Linked DNA regions of Sus scrofa. The protein of the gene in region 2 binds, or shares a complex with, the protein of the main gene of each other region. Links are inferred from orthologs where the notes say so. Each region holds a gene or a part of one and is shown on either strand. Other genes may lie near its edges. The genes, in order: CBLL1, RBM15, METTL14, ZC3H13 and WTAP.

What was found.
Region 1: RBM15 (region 2) and CBLL1 share a complex: the UniProt entries of both Homo sapiens proteins name them as parts of the WMM complex. The link is inferred for Sus scrofa from reciprocal best matches to the Homo sapiens genes RBM15 and CBLL1.
Region 3: RBM15 (region 2) and METTL14 share a complex: the UniProt entries of both Homo sapiens proteins name them as parts of the WMM complex. The link is inferred for Sus scrofa from reciprocal best matches to the Homo sapiens genes RBM15 and METTL14.
Region 4: RBM15 (region 2) and ZC3H13 share a complex: the UniProt entries of both Homo sapiens proteins name them as parts of the WMM complex. The link is inferred for Sus scrofa from reciprocal best matches to the Homo sapiens genes RBM15 and ZC3H13.
Region 5: RBM15 (region 2) and WTAP share a complex: the UniProt entries of both Homo sapiens proteins name them as parts of the WMM complex. The link is inferred for Sus scrofa from reciprocal best matches to the Homo sapiens genes RBM15 and WTAP.

The regions. Positions count from the first base shown.
Region 1 is NC_010451.4:107,466,632-107,470,146, reverse strand, and holds part of CBLL1 (E3 ubiquitin-protein ligase Hakai), read right to left. Parts: intron 3,498-3,515; coding exon 3,414-3,497; intron 2,359-3,413; coding exon 2,285-2,358; intron 1-2,284. UniProt on the Homo sapiens protein: E3 ubiquitin-protein ligase that mediates ubiquitination of several tyrosine-phosphorylated Src substrates, including CDH1, CTTN and DOK1. Targets CDH1 for endocytosis and degradation.
Region 2 is NC_010446.5:109,788,747-109,792,999, forward strand, and holds the start of RBM15 (putative RNA-binding protein 15), read right to left. Parts: upstream 2,810-4,253; 5' UTR 1-2,809. UniProt on the Homo sapiens protein: RNA-binding protein that acts as a key regulator of N6-methyladenosine (m6A) methylation of RNAs, thereby regulating different processes, such as hematopoietic cell homeostasis, alternative splicing of mRNAs and X chromosome inactivation mediated by Xist RNA.
Region 3 is NC_010450.4:105,026,096-105,029,610, forward strand, and holds part of METTL14 (N6-adenosine-methyltransferase subunit METTL14), read right to left. Parts: intron 3,421-3,515; coding exon 3,210-3,420; intron 1-3,209. UniProt on the Homo sapiens protein: The METTL3-METTL14 heterodimer forms a N6-methyltransferase complex that methylates adenosine residues at the N(6) position of some mRNAs and regulates the circadian clock, differentiation of embryonic stem cells and cortical neurogenesis.
Region 4 is NC_010453.5:21,375,549-21,379,063, reverse strand, and holds part of ZC3H13 (zinc finger CCCH domain-containing protein 13), read right to left. Parts: intron 3,144-3,515; coding exon 2,991-3,143; intron 1-2,990. UniProt on the Homo sapiens protein: Associated component of the WMM complex, a complex that mediates N6-methyladenosine (m6A) methylation of RNAs, a modification that plays a role in the efficiency of mRNA splicing and RNA processing.
Region 5 is NC_010443.5:7,648,469-7,652,622, reverse strand, and holds the start of WTAP (pre-mRNA-splicing regulator WTAP), read left to right. Parts: upstream 1-1,350; 5' UTR 1,351-1,415; coding exon of another isoform or gene 1,416-1,588; intron 1,589-1,688; coding exon of another isoform or gene 1,689-1,854; intron 1,855-1,979; coding exon of another isoform or gene 1,980-1,983; intron 1,984-4,154. Other genes in the region: uncharacterized protein LOC102157641, read right to left, coding at 532-1,342, 1,416-1,588, 1,689-1,854, 1,980-1,983. UniProt on the Homo sapiens protein: Associated component of the WMM complex, a complex that mediates N6-methyladenosine (m6A) methylation of RNAs, a modification that plays a role in the efficiency of mRNA splicing and RNA processing.

The DNA.
Region 1 (3,515 bases), on a different chromosome or scaffold from region 2:
TGTCATTACAGTCTTCTTGATATAGTGGAAAGAGGACTGAACCAGGAACCAGAACTGGGATGTAGTATTTCTCGGCTGTGAACTTGGAGAAATCATTTAAACTTTGTTTCTTTATCTGTAAAATGGGGTTAAAACATCTACTCTACCTAACCAGAAAGGTTTTTATATCTTCTTTGTCCTACTTAAAAGAGTATCTTTGGGAGTTCTCTTGTGGCACAGCAGGTTAAGGATCTGGCTTTGTCACCACAGCAGCTTGGGTCACTGCTGTGGCACAGGTTCGATCCCTGGCTTGGGAACTTCCACACGCCACAGGCAAGGCGAAATAAAAAAAAAATTTTAATTAAAAAAAGGAGAGACAGTATCCTTAGTATCAAAACATGAAAATGACAGTACTTAATGCCTAGTTAAGCACTATACATGTATAAGCTATTATTACTGAATATGTCTGTCAGGTCACATGACACCATAATAAATGGTGCTATATTCTTAATTTTGAGTGCTATTTCTCCTTCCTTGTTGTAGGCTGGTTCTGCTTGATACTAGTAGGCTTTCCTTTAGTTGCCATTTGGCACACTCGTCATTTTTTGCTTCTAATTTGCTATAAGCTCTGAAATAGCACCACACTAACAGGATGTAAGGCACTTCTGGGTGATTCTTAAAAGCATTAGTATATAATATTTACATTAATTTGGACTGCCATTTCTTCACTTCCTAGCCTACATCTGTTAATCCAGGTAGGCTTATGTTCTAATACACTTTAAGACCAACCAGTAAGGTGCTTACTGGAATTATACTCAGTATCTTGAAAACTAAATTTCCTATTAAATATTAATACTAGAACATTTATATGAAAGAAAAAACGTTTTGATGTCCTCTACACAGCATTTTAAACATCCAAATTCCTTTATTCCAGTGAAGCAATCAAATTTACTATACAATCTAAAGTAGATGCACACCACGCTGGGAAATTAGGCATTAGAGAAAATGAGGCAAACAATGAATATGTGCTTGTAATGTCATGACTTCTGAAGCATAATTCTAGGGAGGAAATTTTTTGGTTTTTTTTTTTTTAGGGCTGTAGGACCGCAGCATATGGAAGTTCCTAGGCTAGGGTCCAATCACAGCTGCAGCCACTGGCCTATACCACAGCCACAGCAACACCAGATCCAAGCCACATCTGCAACCTATACCACAGCTCATGGCAATGCCAGATCCTCAACCTATGTAGCTCAGCCAGGGACTGAACCTGCATCCTCATGGATGCTAGTTAAGATTCATTTCCGCTGAGCCACGACGGGAGCTCCTAGGGAGGAAATATTTTTAAACTCTCACTACAAATTCTATAATCTGTGATTCTGACAGGCTAATACAGATATGCCAAGAAAATTAGTTGTCAGTGGTTTGCCAATGAATCATCCATTCTCTTTCAGTCATGCCAATGTTTCTATACTACAAAAGAAAATTACTCCTTACAAGTGTCCATAGCTTTGTTATCAACTAACACTACGACCCTTGGGATAGGTTCTGACATAGGTTATAGGGAATCTAGGAAGCCTATAGTTGCTCTAAGTTCCCTCAAAGCTTTTCTCAAGCCTTCTATCAGCACTTCTGAATTGATGTAAAAATTCAGTTTATTCCGGATCCTTCAAGACCATCCCAAAAAAGATTACTACCAACCAGCACTTCCAGATCTTTATAATCTGTCTGAGTCTATGCCATGATGGTATTCTACGATATAGCCAAAACATAATCAGCTTTGAAGGTAATAAGTAATAAAAGCTTATACTTACACAGCATTTACTACGTGGTAGATACTATATATGTATTAACTCATTTAATTCTAATAATAATAATCCAGGGAGGTAAGTACTATTATTAGCTCCATTTTACAAATGAAGAAAGCCTAGGCCACACAGCTAATAAATGACAAAGTAGGGATCTGAACTCAGGAATTCTAATTCCAGAGTTTTTACTCTCAATTATTACATGATACTACATCTCTATTGTGCCATTAAAACAAGAAAATAACTATTTTTGGTTTATAATGCTAACTTCGTGATGGCAAATATACTTTTATTTTGACCAATTTGAATTGATTGATAATAGCTAATTAGTCCTATCCTAGGGAGAAAGCTAAGGTCAACTCCAGGCTCACAAAAATGATCTGCTATGTCCACACATCTGATATCCTTCCACTGGTTTATATCACACCCTGATCTTTAATCTATATTACAAATCATTACATCGCAAACTTTATTATTTAAATATTTAATGATGATCTTACCCTGGACACATCTTATCCCCCTTTTTTTCATGTAAAATAGCACAGTCATAGCAAAAAACATGCTTGCATGGAATCTGTAAACAGAAACATATTACAGTTAAGCATACTAGAACAAATAAAAATATTTCCACAAAAAATAACAGCAGCATAGTGATCTGAGAAGAAAGTTGCTAAGAAGGCACCTGAGAACTGTTTCTTACAATGAACATTTATTAAGTACTAAATATATGAAAACAACAATTAAGAGAGTGTGATGAAAACTTTGGCCCTTTCCCCAATAAACGTACACATGCACATTTGCTTACACATTCATGGTCCCTACAGGTTAAAAAGCTCCTGAGGAATACTGTAGAATGTCATAGTGAATCCTGTATCTCCTGAAAGTATTCCAAAGCAGTAAAAGAACAAGTATCTTCTACATTTAATATACATAGCATTCTTCCCTGGTAGTCTTAAGTTAATGAATTTAACAAATCTCTAAAAACAAATCAGAAGGACAGAGTAAAATGATGTTACACCATTTAAAAACTCACAGCCCATTACTGCTACTTAGTTATGTTATGGACCAAAGCAACAGTCCATAATCCATGCCCTCTACCATCACAGATACAACACAGAATTCAATTTTTTTTCCCAACACAAATATAAAACTATCTTTTTCTTAAGGGAGGATATGTCAAAATAACTATAAAGTTACCAACAGGGCTGTATTTTTTTCTAATGATTAGAATTCAATTCTCAGAAACCATCAAAAATTCTATAAATTCAGTTTTACATTGAAGATTATAGTCTTCAGAAATGAATAACTGATTTTATTCTATTAAGCAAGAAAAAAAATTTCCCCAATAAACTAGAATAAATGTAGACTAACAGATTTCAAACAGTCCAAAGAAATTATCTGGCTTTCAATTAGCTTCCTTAACTAATTATTTTACAAGCAATTCAAGAATTTGTCAAGATAATTATATTAAATACTTATTATCCCCAAATTTCCCATAGCTATTTTATACTTATTTAAAATATTACAAATTTAAACATTAAACAATGATAAACTTAGCTACTTAAATTTCAGGATCCTACCTCTACACAAATATTTACACTTAAAAAAATAGAATTTAGTTTTACTTACCATTCGCCCATAGATTTTAATAGGCAATCCACATTTATCACAGAAATGAACTGGTGTATCATCCTTTTCACCCAAGATGTTTATCTGTTGAAATGATATAAT
Region 2 (4,253 bases):
AAATTTAAAGTTAAGCCACTTTAACTAGTGTTATAGCCAATCCAAATAAATTAAGCTCCCAGGTGATTATTTTTGACCTAAATTGACTTGCTTAGATGACTCACTGGTCAAAAAAAAGACCAAATAAGTTTAGTTTCCTAAGCCTCACGATATAGACTGAGGGAGCATGAAAGTTGAAGGAGAAATTCAGGGAGCCTATACTGGTATGTGTGGCAGTGGCCAGGGCTCTGCTAGGCTTAGTGGCTTGCCATTCAAAATACCAGAAAGCTTGATGGAAGCTATTGCCCACATGTGGCTGCAGCAGGAAGGCTTAGCTAAGCGGGGGTGGGGGGGGGGTGACAGCCTATCTCGTATCAAGAGGACTGGTAAATTAATGGGTAGACAGAAATAGCCTGGATTCCATTATCTCTTTTGATAACTAGAGTCAAAACATAATTGTGTGTGTGTGCACACGTACAAGTGTCCACGACAGAAGTGAAAAATGACATGGTATGTTGATCCAAGCTATAGTTAAAATAAGTGATTTGTTTTCATTTTCTTTGTGTTCTTTAAAGTATGAAGTGCCTTAGTGAGGGTGTATCAGCCTATGTTCACACATGTGCTTTAGAGAGGGCTGAAAGAGGATAAAAGTGACCCATGGTTTAGAAAGCCAAGACTGAGCACTTTTTCTAGTGTTGGTGATGGAGCTGTTGAGGTCCCGTCCAGGCTTTCATCTGGTCTTGTGATCTCTGGCCAGATTTGCGAGGGTAACTGGCCCGGTGAAGAGGATCTTTCAGCGGTCAGGAAAACACAGATTCCCTGAGCATCAGAGCAGCATGTTGATCTCTCCTTTCAATGCCTTGTCAGAAACCAAAAAATAGTGTTGAGGAAAGTAGCCATTGCCTATTCTGACCTCAATGCTGACCCCTTGGAGCCTTGGAGCTGTACAACTCAAACGCCCTAGAGGAAACAGCCCAGGCGGAGAGCAAACATAGCTAAGCTGTCTAAATGAAGTGCTTTCTCCGTCTCCTATAAAATCAGTTTTAGATTAAAAAGGAAAAGCAAAATAAAAGTTATGCACATGAAAGAAAGTTGTGCAATTAAAAGGTATCAGTGTTTTCAATCAAATGTGCTCTTTCCACCCCTTCCTTCCTATGTTTTATTATTTGTGTATTCTCAATACACACAGAGACAGTTATGATTACAATATGAAATTTGTCCTGGGCGCTGAAAGCCATTTGATTTCCTGGCAGATGCAAAAAAAAAAAAACCCTGAAGCTGGGGATTTAAAAAACAATTCTCCCGCTCATAGTAGTAGATTAAAATTTTCTGTTTCATTTTCTTGCAAAGTGAGTGGTCTCCTGACTGTAATGCTTGTTTTGTTTGCAGAATACGTCTCTTTTACCCATAGACATATATGCAATAGCTAAAATAGCAAACAATCACTTAGAACACAGTTTGCATCCTAAAGTCATTTATTTGTGGTTTGTGGGGGTTTTTTTTTAAAAAAAAGCTTTATTAAGATATAATTTATATACCATAAAGTTTACCCATTTAGAGCTTACAATTCATTGGTTTTTAGTATACTTAAAGAGCTGTGCGTGTGGCTCATCCTGCAGCACTGTTACAGAAAGCCTCTGCTATAATTTCTCCTAGGTGACTAAGCCCTAATATAATTATCTCTTTCATTTATTTAGACATTTTATAGGGCAGTAGTTAAGAGCATGAACTCTAGAACCAGCTAGCCTGGATTAAATCCCAGCTCTGCTGTGGGTCTCAAAAGAGTTACTGTTAATCCCTCTGAGCCTTTATTTTCTCATCTATAAAATGGGAACAATCATAGAACCTCTTTACTGGGAGGATTAAAAGGGTTAAAATATATGGTTGGCATCCTCAGAGTCAACCAACCATGGGTCATCTGACTGTACAAGGAGCTTAGAAGAGTGCCTGGCACATGGTAAGCATATATTGCTATCACTAGTATATTTTCTCTTTGAACTTAAGTACGTAGAATTGAATTAATCACAATCCTTAGTTCATGACACACAATCATCAGTGGTTCATCTATGGGCCTTTAAACTTTTCACTTAGTCAAGAACATAATGAATACCCATGAACCTATCATTCAATCCAACAAGTAGAAAGTTACCAATAATCTGCATCTACCTAAATGTTCCTCCCTTATCCACTGCCTACCCTCATAGATAGCAACTATCCTGAACCTGGTATTTAGCAATCCCTTGTTTTGTTTTAAAAACTTAAAAAAATTTTTAAGGAACTTTAAGGAATCCATATATGTGTATGCGTGCAAATGTGTGTTCACGCACATGCACATACATGCGCCTTAAATGTATGTTATTTTAGTTTTGCTCGTTTTGTAACTTCATACTAACTTGTAATCTGAGATTTGCATTTTTCACTCATTATGTTACTATGACTCTTTTTTATTATCAGAAGACTTTCAAGAAATGGATCATTTCCTTCTCTTTTGATGTTCTGAGATTGTTATGCTGCCATATGATCTAATACGGCTTTTCAAGTTCCAGCCATAAAATAACCATTCCAGTCACCCAGCGGGTGAAGATGGAACAACATGTCCTCCTCCTTTTAAGACACTTCCCAGAAGTGACTCACTAAAACTCCGCTTCTATCTCATTCACCAAAACATAGACCTGCAACCACACTTAGCAAGGAATGCTGGGGGGTATAATTCTGTATCTTACTTTAGCCCAACTAAAAATCAGGAGTCTTAAAAAGAAAAAAATTTATTGAAACTTCGTTCATTTACAATGTTGTGCCAATTTCTGCTGTACAGCAAAGTGACCCAGCTCTACATTCTTTTTCTTACATTATCTTCCATCATGGTCTCTTCCAGGAGATAGTTCCCTGTGCTATACAGTAGGACCTTATTTTTTAGCCATTCTAAATGTAATAGTTTGCATCCACTAATCCCAAACTCCCAGTCTATCTCACTCCCTCCCCCTTCCCCTTGGCAACCACAAGTCTGTTTTCTGCCTCTGTGAGTCTGTTTCTGTTCTGTAGATAGGTTCATTTGTGCCATATTTTAGATTCTACATGTAAGTGATATCATATGGTATTTGTTTTTCAGGGGTCTTATTTCTAAGGAAAAGAGGGAGAACAGGTCTTGGGGTCACCAACAGTCTCTTCCACAACTACCTACAGGGTGAATTTCAAGACACAATGTATATAAAGCTGATGGTACATACTTAGCAAGAGTCAATTAAAACAGTCATTTTATGATTTCCCTTACATTATCCAATTTAATCCTCATAGTAATCATATGCGTTAGGGCAAATATGATTATCTTAATTGCAGACTTGGAAACTGAGATTTAGAGAGGCTAATTACAGCTGTGCCAGTGGTGGTAATTTTTGTTTGTTTTGTTTTAAAGAAAGAGGCAGTAGAGTCAAAGGGAAAGGAGCAGGAGCCCAAATCTAGAGTCCTAGCTTCTCTTGACAAAATCTGCCTCCCATAAAATCCTAGAATTCTATGTTCTGTGACTTTCTGGATCTGGCACATAAATCCGCAGGGTGTGGGACAGAACCTGAGGCCAGTAACTACCACTGTGGGTCGCTTTCCACCATATCCCGTGTGAACCTGGTTGTTGGAAACGACATGCTCTTCAGCAGCAGCCTCTCCTTCCCACAGGTTGAAATCTGAACAAATAAATGAGATTACATAACTCACAACTAGATAATAAAAATAAAAGCCAGCCTTTACTGAGTAATGACATACCAGGTGCTCTGCTAAAACTTTCCTCCCATTGGCTTGCTTTAGCCTCGCAACAACCTGTGGAGATGGATAGGCTTATAATTCTCTCTTTTTTTTTTTATCAGTTAAGGAAACTGAGGTTTAGAGAGCCAATATAATTTACAGATATTTAAGAAGAATAATATATGTCCTATAGAATTATTTGTTTTTTTTCCCAGTCTGTGAAAAGCATTTGTTTTGAAGTCATCCTTACATATTATGGGTGACTCCCCAGTGTTCATTCTCCCCTTCTTTGCAGTACTTTGACAGGAAAATATTTTATAACAAATGATATAGACAATTCCTTAGGTAACTAATGTAGTGGGAAAATACATAGTAACTGTGTTAGTATCTGCCTGCTTTAAGAATGGTGCTTTACTATTTACAATAGCCAAGACATGGACACAACCTAAATGTCCACCGACAGATGAATGGATAAAAGACACACACACACACACACACACACACACACACACACACACACACACACACACACACACACA
Region 3 (3,515 bases), on a different chromosome or scaffold from region 2:
AGTATCAAGAAATACAACCAATTTCTGACTGTTATTGATGTTACTTTCTTTTAAGCCAGTGAAAAGAAAACATTTGCTTGTCACAAGCTCTGCTGCCAAAATATTTTACTTTGATAAGAGAATAAAATCATCCACAAAACTTCTAAACAAGGTGTTCATTATGCACAGTGGAAGTCTAAACAACTCAAAGCTCATTCTATAGCTTTATATATAATAACTTATGCAAGAATTGAACGTTGAGCAAAACTTGCCAAAAAGATTAAGGAAACTATGAAGTTTAAACCATAGCATTGCCACCCTTTAAAAATCAACATACTATTTTAATTTAGAATTTCATAATTCAAGGATGAATGCTGCAATTTCCAAGATAATCACTGAGGGAACAGTAAAAGAACATGTAATTAACAAGCTAATAAAAAAGAAAAAAATGAGTAATATAAGAATACCTGAATCAAGCCAAAGAAATGAGAGAAAAAGGAATATAAAACAGGTGGTAACAACATAAAGCAAACAGTAAGATGGTAATTACGACATATATAGCAGGAATTACATTAAATACAGACTGATTAAACAATTCAATTAAAAGAAAAAGACAAGGAGTTCTCATTGGCACAGCAGGATCTGGTGGTGTCACTGCAGTAGCCTGGGCCACTGCTGTAACATGAGTTCAATCCCTGGTGTGGGAACTTCTATATGCCATGGAAGCAAACACACAAACAAAAAAAGATAACAATAACTGGATGAAAACCAACTATATGTTGTTCACAAGAGATACACCTTAAAGGTAAGGCTATAGAAGACTGAAAATAAGATGGAAATAATATATGATGCAAACACAAACCAAAAGAAAGCTGGGATAGCTATGATAATGTCAGATGAAGCAAGATTTAGACTAAGAAACAATGGATAAAGAAGGACACTTCATAATATTAAGATGGTCAAGCTACTAGGAAGGCATAAAAATTCTACATTATATACGTCTAACAGCAGAATAGCAAATATAAATAAAAAACTGACAACTAAACAAAATCACAACCCATAAATTTCATATTTAATATACCTTTCTCACAGAATAAGCAGTTAAAAAAATCAGTAAAGTCATGGCAGAAATCAACAATAAATAAATACTACAGTAATAAATAAATAAATCAGCAATAAATAAATACTACAACCAACAACAAAAATAATACATGTTCCTATCAACTGGACTTGGAATATTTATTTAAATTGGATCAAACGCAAATCTCAACAAACTACAAATGAGTGAAATCTTAAGGTGTGTGTTATATGACCACAATATTATGCCAAAAAGCAGTAACAAAATGATAATTTAAGCAACTCAATCCTGAATAACAAACCGCCAGGAGAGAAAACATTTACTTTTAAATATAGGAAACATTTTCTCTAAAGCCAAAATCCACAATAAACCTCCCTCTCTTTTTTTTTTTTTTTTTGCTTTTTAGGGCCACACCTGCGGCACAGGGAAGTTCCCAGGCTAGGAGTCAAATTGCAGGTGTAGGTGCCGACCTATGACACAGCCACAGCAACACTAGATCAAAGCCGTGTCTGCAATCTACATTGCAGCTCACGGCAATGCCAGATCCTTAACCCACTGAGCGAGGCCAGGGATCAAACCCACATGCTTATGGGTCCTAGTCAGGTTCATTACTGCTGAGCCACAATGGGAACTCCCAGAATAAACATTTCACATGCAAAATATTTATTCATAAAAAGAATGTAGTTTTATTTTTCTATCATTTTACACAACTTTATGAAATTCGAGACCATCAGTTCATCAAAGCAATTCACAAAGAAATAGCTGATTAGGCTGGAGAGGTAGGGAGAGGAGGGACAGATTATATTACACATATATACATAGATTATGTATATAAGGCAGCTTTTAAGGATCACTTTTTTTCAGAATGAACATCAGAGTTTCTAAATTCTAAGGTATTTCTAAGGACAATTATTCTACTGTAACTTTTTCAACTTTTACTTTTTATAAAATGTAGATTTAAAACAAGTAAGATTCTGACTCCTTTCATCTTTAAACAGAATTTCTTTTTTTTTTTTTTTTTTTTTTTTGGTCTTTTTGCCTTTTCTAGGGCTGCTCCCGCAGCATATAGAGGTTCCCAGGCTACAGGTCCAATCGGAGCTGTAGCCACCAGCCTACAACACAGCCACAGCAACGCGGTATCCGAGCCACATCTGCAACCTACACCACAGCTCACGGCAACGCTAGATCTTTAACCCACTGAGCAAGGCCAGGGACTGAACCCACAACCTCACGGTTCCTAGTCGGATTCGTTAACCACTGTGCCACAAAAGGAACTCCTAAACAGAATTTCTAGCTGATAGAGCTAGAGCAAATGAGAAAATGTGGTCCATGCCAAATGGTTTTGGACAGGGCCAAATATCAAGAACCTTTTGGCACTGACCTTATGGACCAAACATCTTATGGATGTTTTAAACAAGACTAAATATCAAGGACATTTTGGTGTGGACCAAATGTCCACTTGGCTCAACACAGTATTTACTGAATAACCTGAATGGCAGGTAGAAAGAAGAGAATAAGACAATCTTTGCTTTCCATGAGACTGCATGCTAAAGAGAAAGAGTAAACATATGCTCAAATGAATCTACAATTCAGTTAACAGTAAGTGCTTTATGAAGAAAAAGAAAAGAGATCAAAGGGAGAGAGAGTGGTGAGAGGAGGGAGTGAAGTGGGAAGTTGGCTAATTGAGACAGGGTTGTGACAAAGGTCTGTCAGGTGTCTGCATGATAGCAGAGAGGACCATGGAAGAGTAGTGAGACAAGAATGAGCTTGGCATGTTCTAAGTGCATCAAGAAGAGGAATCGAACACATCCTAACAATTTTATTTTACAAAGCACTGGGTGCTACTTCTTTTTGTCTTTTTAGGGCCACACTTGCAGCCTATGGAGGTTCCCAGGCTAGGGGTTGAACTGGAGCTGTAGCCACTGACCACAGCCACAGCAACACGGGATCCAAGCCACGTCTGCAACCTACACCAAAACCCATGGCAACGCCGGATCCTTAAGCCACTGAGTGAGGCCAGGGACTGAACCTGTGTCCTCATGGATGCTAGTCAGATTCGTTTCCACTGAGCCACGACAGGAACTCCTGTGTGCTACTTCTTAACATCTATGTTCCAAGGAACTATAAAAGTTTTTTTCCTCTGACATCTTACCTGGTCGAATTGTACTATCTCGTCCAAATAGATGAAGGCGTCTTCTACCAAGACAAAAATGTTCAATTATATGAAAAATTTCTACAGGCTTTTCTATATTGCCAATTTCAGGTTCTTCTGTGATAATCAAGTCAATGTCAACATTAGCATGAATGAAGTCCCCGTCTGTGCTACGCTTAACAGTTCCTTTGATTCCCATAAGGCAGTGTTCCTAAATAACAGTAAGAGCACAACGATTAATCCCTTTTCATCAACAGTCATATGTTACAACATTTTACATTTCTGATGTACCCAATTCCAAAACAA
Region 4 (3,515 bases), on a different chromosome or scaffold from region 2:
GACCCCTAGCCTGGGAACCTCCATATGCCACAGGTGCGGCCCTTAAAAAAAAAAAGGGCAGAGGATCTGAATAGACATTTCTCCAAAGAAGGCATACAGATGGCCAATAGGCATATGAAAAGATGCTCAATATCACTAATCATCAGGGAAATAAATGCAAGTTAAAACCACAGTGAGATATATCTCACACCTGTCAGAATGGCTATTATCAAAAAGACAAGAAACAAGAATCGTTGGCGAGGATGAGGAAAAAAGGATACTCACATATGCTGCTGGTAGAAATGTCAACTGGTGCAACCAGTAGGGAAAAAGTCTGGAGGTTTCTCAAAAAAAAAAAAAAAAAAACCACCCAGCAATTTCACTTCTGGGGATATACAAACAAAATACTAATTTGGAAATATATATGCACCCCTCACTGTAGCATCATCTACAGTAGCCAAAGTAGAAACAACCTCAGCGTCCACTGACAGATGAACAGACGGAGGTATGAGACACATATCTGTGTACACTGAAATATATCCCCCCCCACACACACAATGGACTACTACTCAGTCATAAGAAAGAAATCTCGCCAATTTGAGACACACAAAAGGGCCCTAAAGATACTATGCTCAGTGAAATAAGTCAGAGAAAGATGAATACAATTTCACCTACATGTGCAATCTAGAAAGTAAAAGAATCAAACAATACAAAAGGGAAACCAAACTTACAGAAACAGAGAACAGATCGACGGTCTCTAGAGGGGAAGGGATTTGAAGGTTAAACAAAATGGATGAAGGGTATCAAGAGGTACAAACTTCCAGTCACAAAATAAATACATCATGGGGATGTAATGTACAGCCAGGTAACTATAATCAATAACATCGTATTTCAACATTAAAAGTTGCTAGGAAGTAAATCTGAGAAGTTCTCATCACAAGAAAAACACCTGTGTAACTCTGCATGGTGACAGATGGTTACTGTGGTGATCATTTCGCAATGTATACAAATGTCGAATCATTATGTTGTATACGTGAAACTAATACAATAAATGCATAATATAGGTTAATTATACTTCAACTAAAAAAAACACAAAAAACCCAAAACTAAAAAACAGGCAAGCAAACCAAACCTAAGCAAACCCATTCCTAACACAATGCATTTAAATTGCTTGAGAGATCCTCAATGAAAGAACTCATTATTTCACTAAGATAAAGTCTGATGTTTTGAAATTTGGTACCAGAATCTTTTCAAGGGTTAAATCTAGGAGTATTTAGTGTGCATGTGCGTGTGCATACACAGACAAAAAAAAAAAAAAAAAAAAAAAAACAGTTTAAGTTTGGTTTTTTTTGGCCGCAGCATACAAAAGTTCCTGGGCCAGGGATCAAACCCGAGCCATGGCAGTGGCGATGCCAAGTCCTTAACCTCAAGGCCACCAGAGAACTCTCAGAACTTTTTTTTTTTGGTCTTTTTCTTCAGGGCCGTACCTGCAGCATACACAAGTTCACAGTCTAGGGGTCAAATTGGAGCTGCGGCTTCTGGCCTATGCCACAGCCACAGCAATGCCAGATCCAAGTTGCCCTTCGACCTACACCGTGGCTTACAGCAATGCCAGATCCTTAACCCACTAAGTAGGGATCAAACCCACGTCCTCATGGATACCAGTCGGGTTCGTTACCGCTGAGTCACAACGGGAACTCCTTTTTTTTTTTTTTTTTTTTTAAAGTGTACTTTTAAAAAACAAATAATTCATCACCGCTGTGGCTCAGATAGCTGCTGTGGTACAGGTTCAATCGTGGCCCGGGAACTACTGCATGCCACAGGTGTAGCCAAAAACAAATAAACAAAAAGCAAAACAAAAAACCAAGTAATGCATTATAAAATTACTTTAAGAATCAGGCAGTGGCTATGATTAAAATTGAGAATAATCTATTCATTGATAAAGAACAGTTTACAAAATTAACAAAATAATGTTCTATTTAGAAATACCTAATAGCTGGTGATAATAAAGATAAAACATAAATGTACATTAGTAGAAAAAAACTGGAAAATATAAGAACAAATTAAATCAAAATAAAATTTAATATTCTGGAGTTCCCGTCGTGGCGCAGTGGTTAACGACTCCGACTAGGAACCATGAGGTTGCGGGTTCGGTCCCTGCCCTTGCTCAGTGGGTTAACCATCCGGCGTTGCCGTGAGCTGTGGTGTACGTTGCAGACGCGGCTCGGATCCCGCGTTGCTATGGCTCTGGCGTAGGCCGGTGGCTACGGCTCCGATTCAGCCCCTAGCCTGGGAACCTCCATATGCCGCGGGAGCGGCCCAAGAAATAGCAACAACAACAACAACAACAACAAAAGACAAAAAAAAAAAAAAAAAAAAAAAAAAAAAAAAAAAATTTAATATTCTACATACCCAAAGACCCTCACTATGACTAAAAAAAATATTCTGTAGTAACGATCAGACTAATTGGGACGATTCAACAAGAACATTAAGGGTTGCTGCTTCATGGTACAGTCACTGGAGCAAGCTCTAGCTATGAATAAAGTACTGTGAGTGAAAATAATTACTGAATTTAGAAAACTGATAGAGGTATATAAATAGTGTTCAAATATAATTTCAACCTTTGTAAATTCTGGAACGGTTGTTTCAAAACTTGGTTTGTGGCAGCACAGCTGTGAAGCTCTGTACCAGGTACCTACCATTGAGAATACTGCTAGACAATTACTATTTGGTTAAATTCCAGGTCATGTAATATGAATTAAACTCTGGAAAGATAATCTTACAATTTTGCTATTTTAAATATTGCCCTTTCCAATTTACAGGCAACTGTCTACTTAAAAATAAGCAAAGCATATTAACTATAATTTTCATTTTATTGACCTCTCAATGTTAATTACAACATAAATGGGAAAATTCTGTTTTATCAATTCTTCCAGTGTGAAAGGGAACAAAGAATACCTCAATACCATGATTAAATATTTTGTATGTTCAACACCTCTGCAAATGATTACCTGGCATCTTCTCCTCATCCTGTTGGTCCTCCCTCTTTTCGGCATCACCTGCCAGAATTTCATCTAGTTCATCATCACTAATTGGCTCGTATCCTTCTCCAGCCCCAGATCCTAACGAATGTGCATCGTCTAACTTAGATTCGTCATCTCCTGCTGAAGGGAAAAATTAATTTCACATCAAAGAGAGCATTAAGGGAAAGAGACTTTTTAGTGAAACCAAAGAGGAGAGACTGTGCACACTAAAAAAATGGAAAAGCATTTTTTATTTGACAACTACATTTCTTATTCAATACACTCAATAATTCTAAAAGAAAACGTAAACTGTATTAGTTAAACTTAGTTTTAATGGCAAGAACACAATATGGACAGCAATATCAAAAGAGGTTAAAAGACTATAATTAAAACATGAGAAATAAAATCTACCAACATTAACTGCTAATTTTGTTAATTTTTTATAAGAAAACTTTACGTAAATCCAGAGAAATCTACTAATTTCAAAAGGATGCCTTCATTTCTTTATTGAAA
Region 5 (4,154 bases), on a different chromosome or scaffold from region 2:
GGATCGAACCCATGGATGTTAGTTGGGTTTGTTAACCGCTGAGCCACAACAGGAACTCCGATTTCTAAACTTCTGTGAGGACAGTGCAACAAGAAACCTTGCCTACATGTTATTTCTGTATGTGAGGATGTATTTTCAGAATCAGGTTAGGGTTAGAGGTGGAATTTGCAAGACATGTGAATAAGTGCATATATAATCTTGGTACTCCATAGGGCTTGAATCACTTTCCAATTCCTACCAGAAGGTTAATGAGCACGGTTTATTCGTAGAATTCCAATGTGCATTTCCATTACGCGCGAGGACAAACAACCGTTCATATTTAAGGATCATTGCTGTTCTTTGGTGTGAAATGTCTATTCATGCCTTGCCCATTTTTCTCTTCGGATTTTGGTCTTTGAACACACTTTAATACTATCCTTATAGATTATCTCATTCCAGCACACGTCCTGAGGATAAATGGTTTGGGTAAGGCTAGATAATACCAGCCAAATTAAAAGAATTACCTGAATATATTCAAATTTTAAAACTTACATTACTAGGTTCAAAAACCTTCCAAGGTTCTCCGGTCCCTTGTTTCTGGATGACCAAGGTGCCCCTAGGGCTGCTGACATACGCACAACCTCTCCGCTAGACAACAATAGCTCCCCGGTTGCGCCTCGAGATGTCAAGGCGGGGACAAACCAAGCGTCCAAGAGGCCGTCCTTCCCGAAGAAAGAGGGAGCCCCGGTTTCTAAATTCTCAAAACCTAGTGAGGCCTCGCGGAGTCCACACTGCCCAGCCGCCCAGCCCACGGCCCGCTGCCGAGGTCGCACCTGGCCGCCAGCACGCGGAAGCACCACGGCTGGGAGCTGCACCAAGACGCGGCCAATCACGCGCCGCCTTCGCCCAGATTCCTCCGCCAGAGGCCGCGCTGCAGCCGCAGGTGGCCCAGCGAGCGCGTCCAACCAGCGCCACCGAGCGCGACCCCCGCCGGCCTTCCCGTGATGCCCCGCGGCTGACCTGCGACCTCGCGGCTCACCCCTCCCCGCGGCCCGCTTCCCTCCCCGCCCCCGCCGAGCTGGAAGCGCTGGGGCGGCCGCGGGCCGTGCCACTAGGCGCAGCTCCTCCCCGAGCGCCTCGAGGCCCCCAGCGGGCGCCTTCCATTCGTCTTTCCTCTCCGCGGCGGGGCCTGGCGGGCGGGTCGCTGCGTCCGCGTCCGGGAGGTGACTCGTCGGTGAGCGGGCCGAGCGCGAACATGGCGGGATGGAGAAGGGCGGGCGCCGGCGGCGGCGGCGGCGCGGGGCGGGGCGGCGCGGCGGGAGGAGCGGGGAAGGGGGTGGGGCGACGGGGCCTCGCTTCCTCCCTCAGCGCCATTTTGTGGCAGCGAGACCCGCAAATAAAGGGGAGCGCCAGGGCTGCGGCGGGAGGAGGCGCGCGGGGGCCGGCGGCAGCGCGGTCGGGCGGCCCGGGCAGCGAGCGGCGGCGCGCGGTCGGCCTATGTGACTGGGCGGCGCCCGCGCGGCCTCCGTCCGGAGAGGTAGGTGCGGGCCGGGCCCCGGCCAGAGCGGCGGCGAGGACCTCAGGGTCCCCGGGGCTGAGGCGCGGCCGCCTGGCCCGGCAAAGGGGCGGACAGGGCACGGAGGGCGACTCGGGGTCCCCGGGCCCGCCAGCCTCCCGTTAGCCGCGCCGCCTTCCTGCTGCGGGCACACTTCCGCCGCCCCGAGGCCATTTTACCTTCGCTCTCCGTCTCCGGGCCCGAGGGCGAGGTGGGCGCTCCCGCGGGCCGGCGGCACCGGGAGGCCGCCCCCTCGGCGCGCGTCCCGTCCCCGCCTCGGTGCCGCCGGCGCCCACCTCCTTTCGAGCGGATCCCGCGGTCTGGCGGCACCCACGAGCTCAGCAGGGGAGGGAAAGCAGCGTTCGTTGACCGAATTTCACGTCGCGCAGTGGGGTATTACCGCCGCTGCGTTTTCTTGTGGACTTCCATTTTCAAATGATTGCACGCATCGTGGTTTTTAAAATACATGCTCTTTTGAGCCCGAGATCTTCATAGCATTTTAAACTCTCGTCTTGGATTCCTATAAAGCTGTTTTTAATTTCTTAGAACCCTGTTTCTCTAGTCAGTGGGGAACACCTCAGTGGGAAAGTCCAGGTTCTTGTTTTGATGAAGTCACTTGGCTGTTTGATCCCAAAGGACTATGTGAAAATCCTAAGGAACCCTGATTGTGAAGTAGGAAACTGTTCTTTTGCCCGAGATAGAAAAATACTTCCATGGGTATGTTACAGTCCTGAGTTGCTCCTCTCGTTTTCCATCTCAGAATTTAATTAATTCCATTGCTGAAGAAGAAAAGTGGAAGTCACAGGTCTTTCACCCCAAGTTCTAAGCGGGTTTTTTGCACTTTTAAAGAAAACTTGAATTGTTGATTTACAATGTTACATGAGTGTCAGGCGTACAGTGGAAGTGATTATCCACTGAGTTTTTTATTTTAAAATTTTGACTGTTAAGGTTTCTGTGACATAAACATAGAGGTATTTAAAGCTCTGTTAAAAAATTGCAAGATGCCTGCATTTTATTTATTTACACCTGTCATTCAGTAGCGTCCGATTAGGCAAGTTGGGAAAAGAAATCACGAGCATTAGAAATTGGGAAAGATCTTGCTGTATACACAGGGAGCTGTATCTAATCACTTGTAGTGGAACCCAATGCAGGGCAATGTGAGAAAAAGTGTGTGTGTATGTATATATATATATAAATAACTGGGTCCCTTTGCTGAACAATACAAGTTGACAGAACATTGTAAATTAACTATAATAAAAATTTTAGACTAAAAGACAAAAAATTTGACAAAAACAAAAAAAATTTAAAGAAATTGGGACTTGTGATAAAGATGGGGTTCGATTTTAAGGGTTTGGGTGGCTGTATTCCTTGAGTTCTTTCAAATCTTGCATTATTTTAAGCAGATGGCTGTAGTTAAGTGATCAGTATTTTCACTTCTCAGTGGTGGAACTCAGGCAATTTCGAAGTCCAGAAGGACAAAAGTAATAATAAGTGTGTCCCAGGCACTGCTGTTTTTTACTTAGCTCATCTATGAAACTTAATAATATCTAGATTTCTGGTTGAATTTTGTGTATTTGCCAGAAATGAGTTAGTATAGTGTAGAAAACCCATGGCAGCGTTATGACGTGGAGATGACAGTTGCAGTAATACAAGTTATTAGAAGTTATTAGCTCTGAAAGCTAATAATTATGAAGTTATTAGTTTTCAGGGTCCCTTACAGTTTTGTGTGTATATATGTAGACTGGAATACCCTAGACAACATTTTTTTAGATGTCTTGTTGATCATTTTCATATAATTGTACATTATCTCACTTCTGAAAAAAATGTTCCTTGCTCCTAAAAATTTGTGGGATCCTTTGGCAAAACAAGACCTAGATAGTGTTCATTTGGTTTATTCTTGTTTTTTATTATCACTCACTCTTCTGCCTCTAAATATTTTCTGCCAAGCTTGTCAGAGCAAAACTTCGATTCTTATAACAGTGTATCTCATTGGATATAAAGGTGGTGCATCAGGTTAGAACCAGTGCTATAAGTAAATGTTCTCAAGTCTTGAAATATAGTTGGTGGAATTTAATCTTTCCTAAAAGCACATTAAAGTTCTCTTTTATGTTAATGTTAGTATTTAAATTTGAATTTTTTTTGTTTGTATGGCATCTTTATGGCACTTGAAGCATTGAGATGTGCGGCACTTTGCAAAGCAGGGAAAATTGGTATCCTCTTCTTGCTGATTGGGAGACTGCAGTCCAAGTAGTGGCTTGCTGCTACATAGTCAAGACAAGCTGGTCTTCCAGTTCCTCACTAGTAGACTTTACAGTGTCAGATTAGTTCCTTAAGTTGGATTATGATTAGTTTCAGCGAGGTACATGCTTTCTTACTGAAGTTGTGTGGGCTAGTGCGTGATGCTCTGTTAAGGGAGAACTTACGACACCAAGAGCCAGGGAAGTACTGGAATCTGGGATGCTAGACACCTAGCCAGCCAAAACTGAGTTCTCCAGCCAAAGCTGTCTGTCAGTGTAAAGCATCAAGAGTAGATTCTGACATTCTAAACACGAGAACTATATTATTTCTGAGTTCTTGACGTGGATAACAAACTTTTACATACAACATAAAATAGTATTTT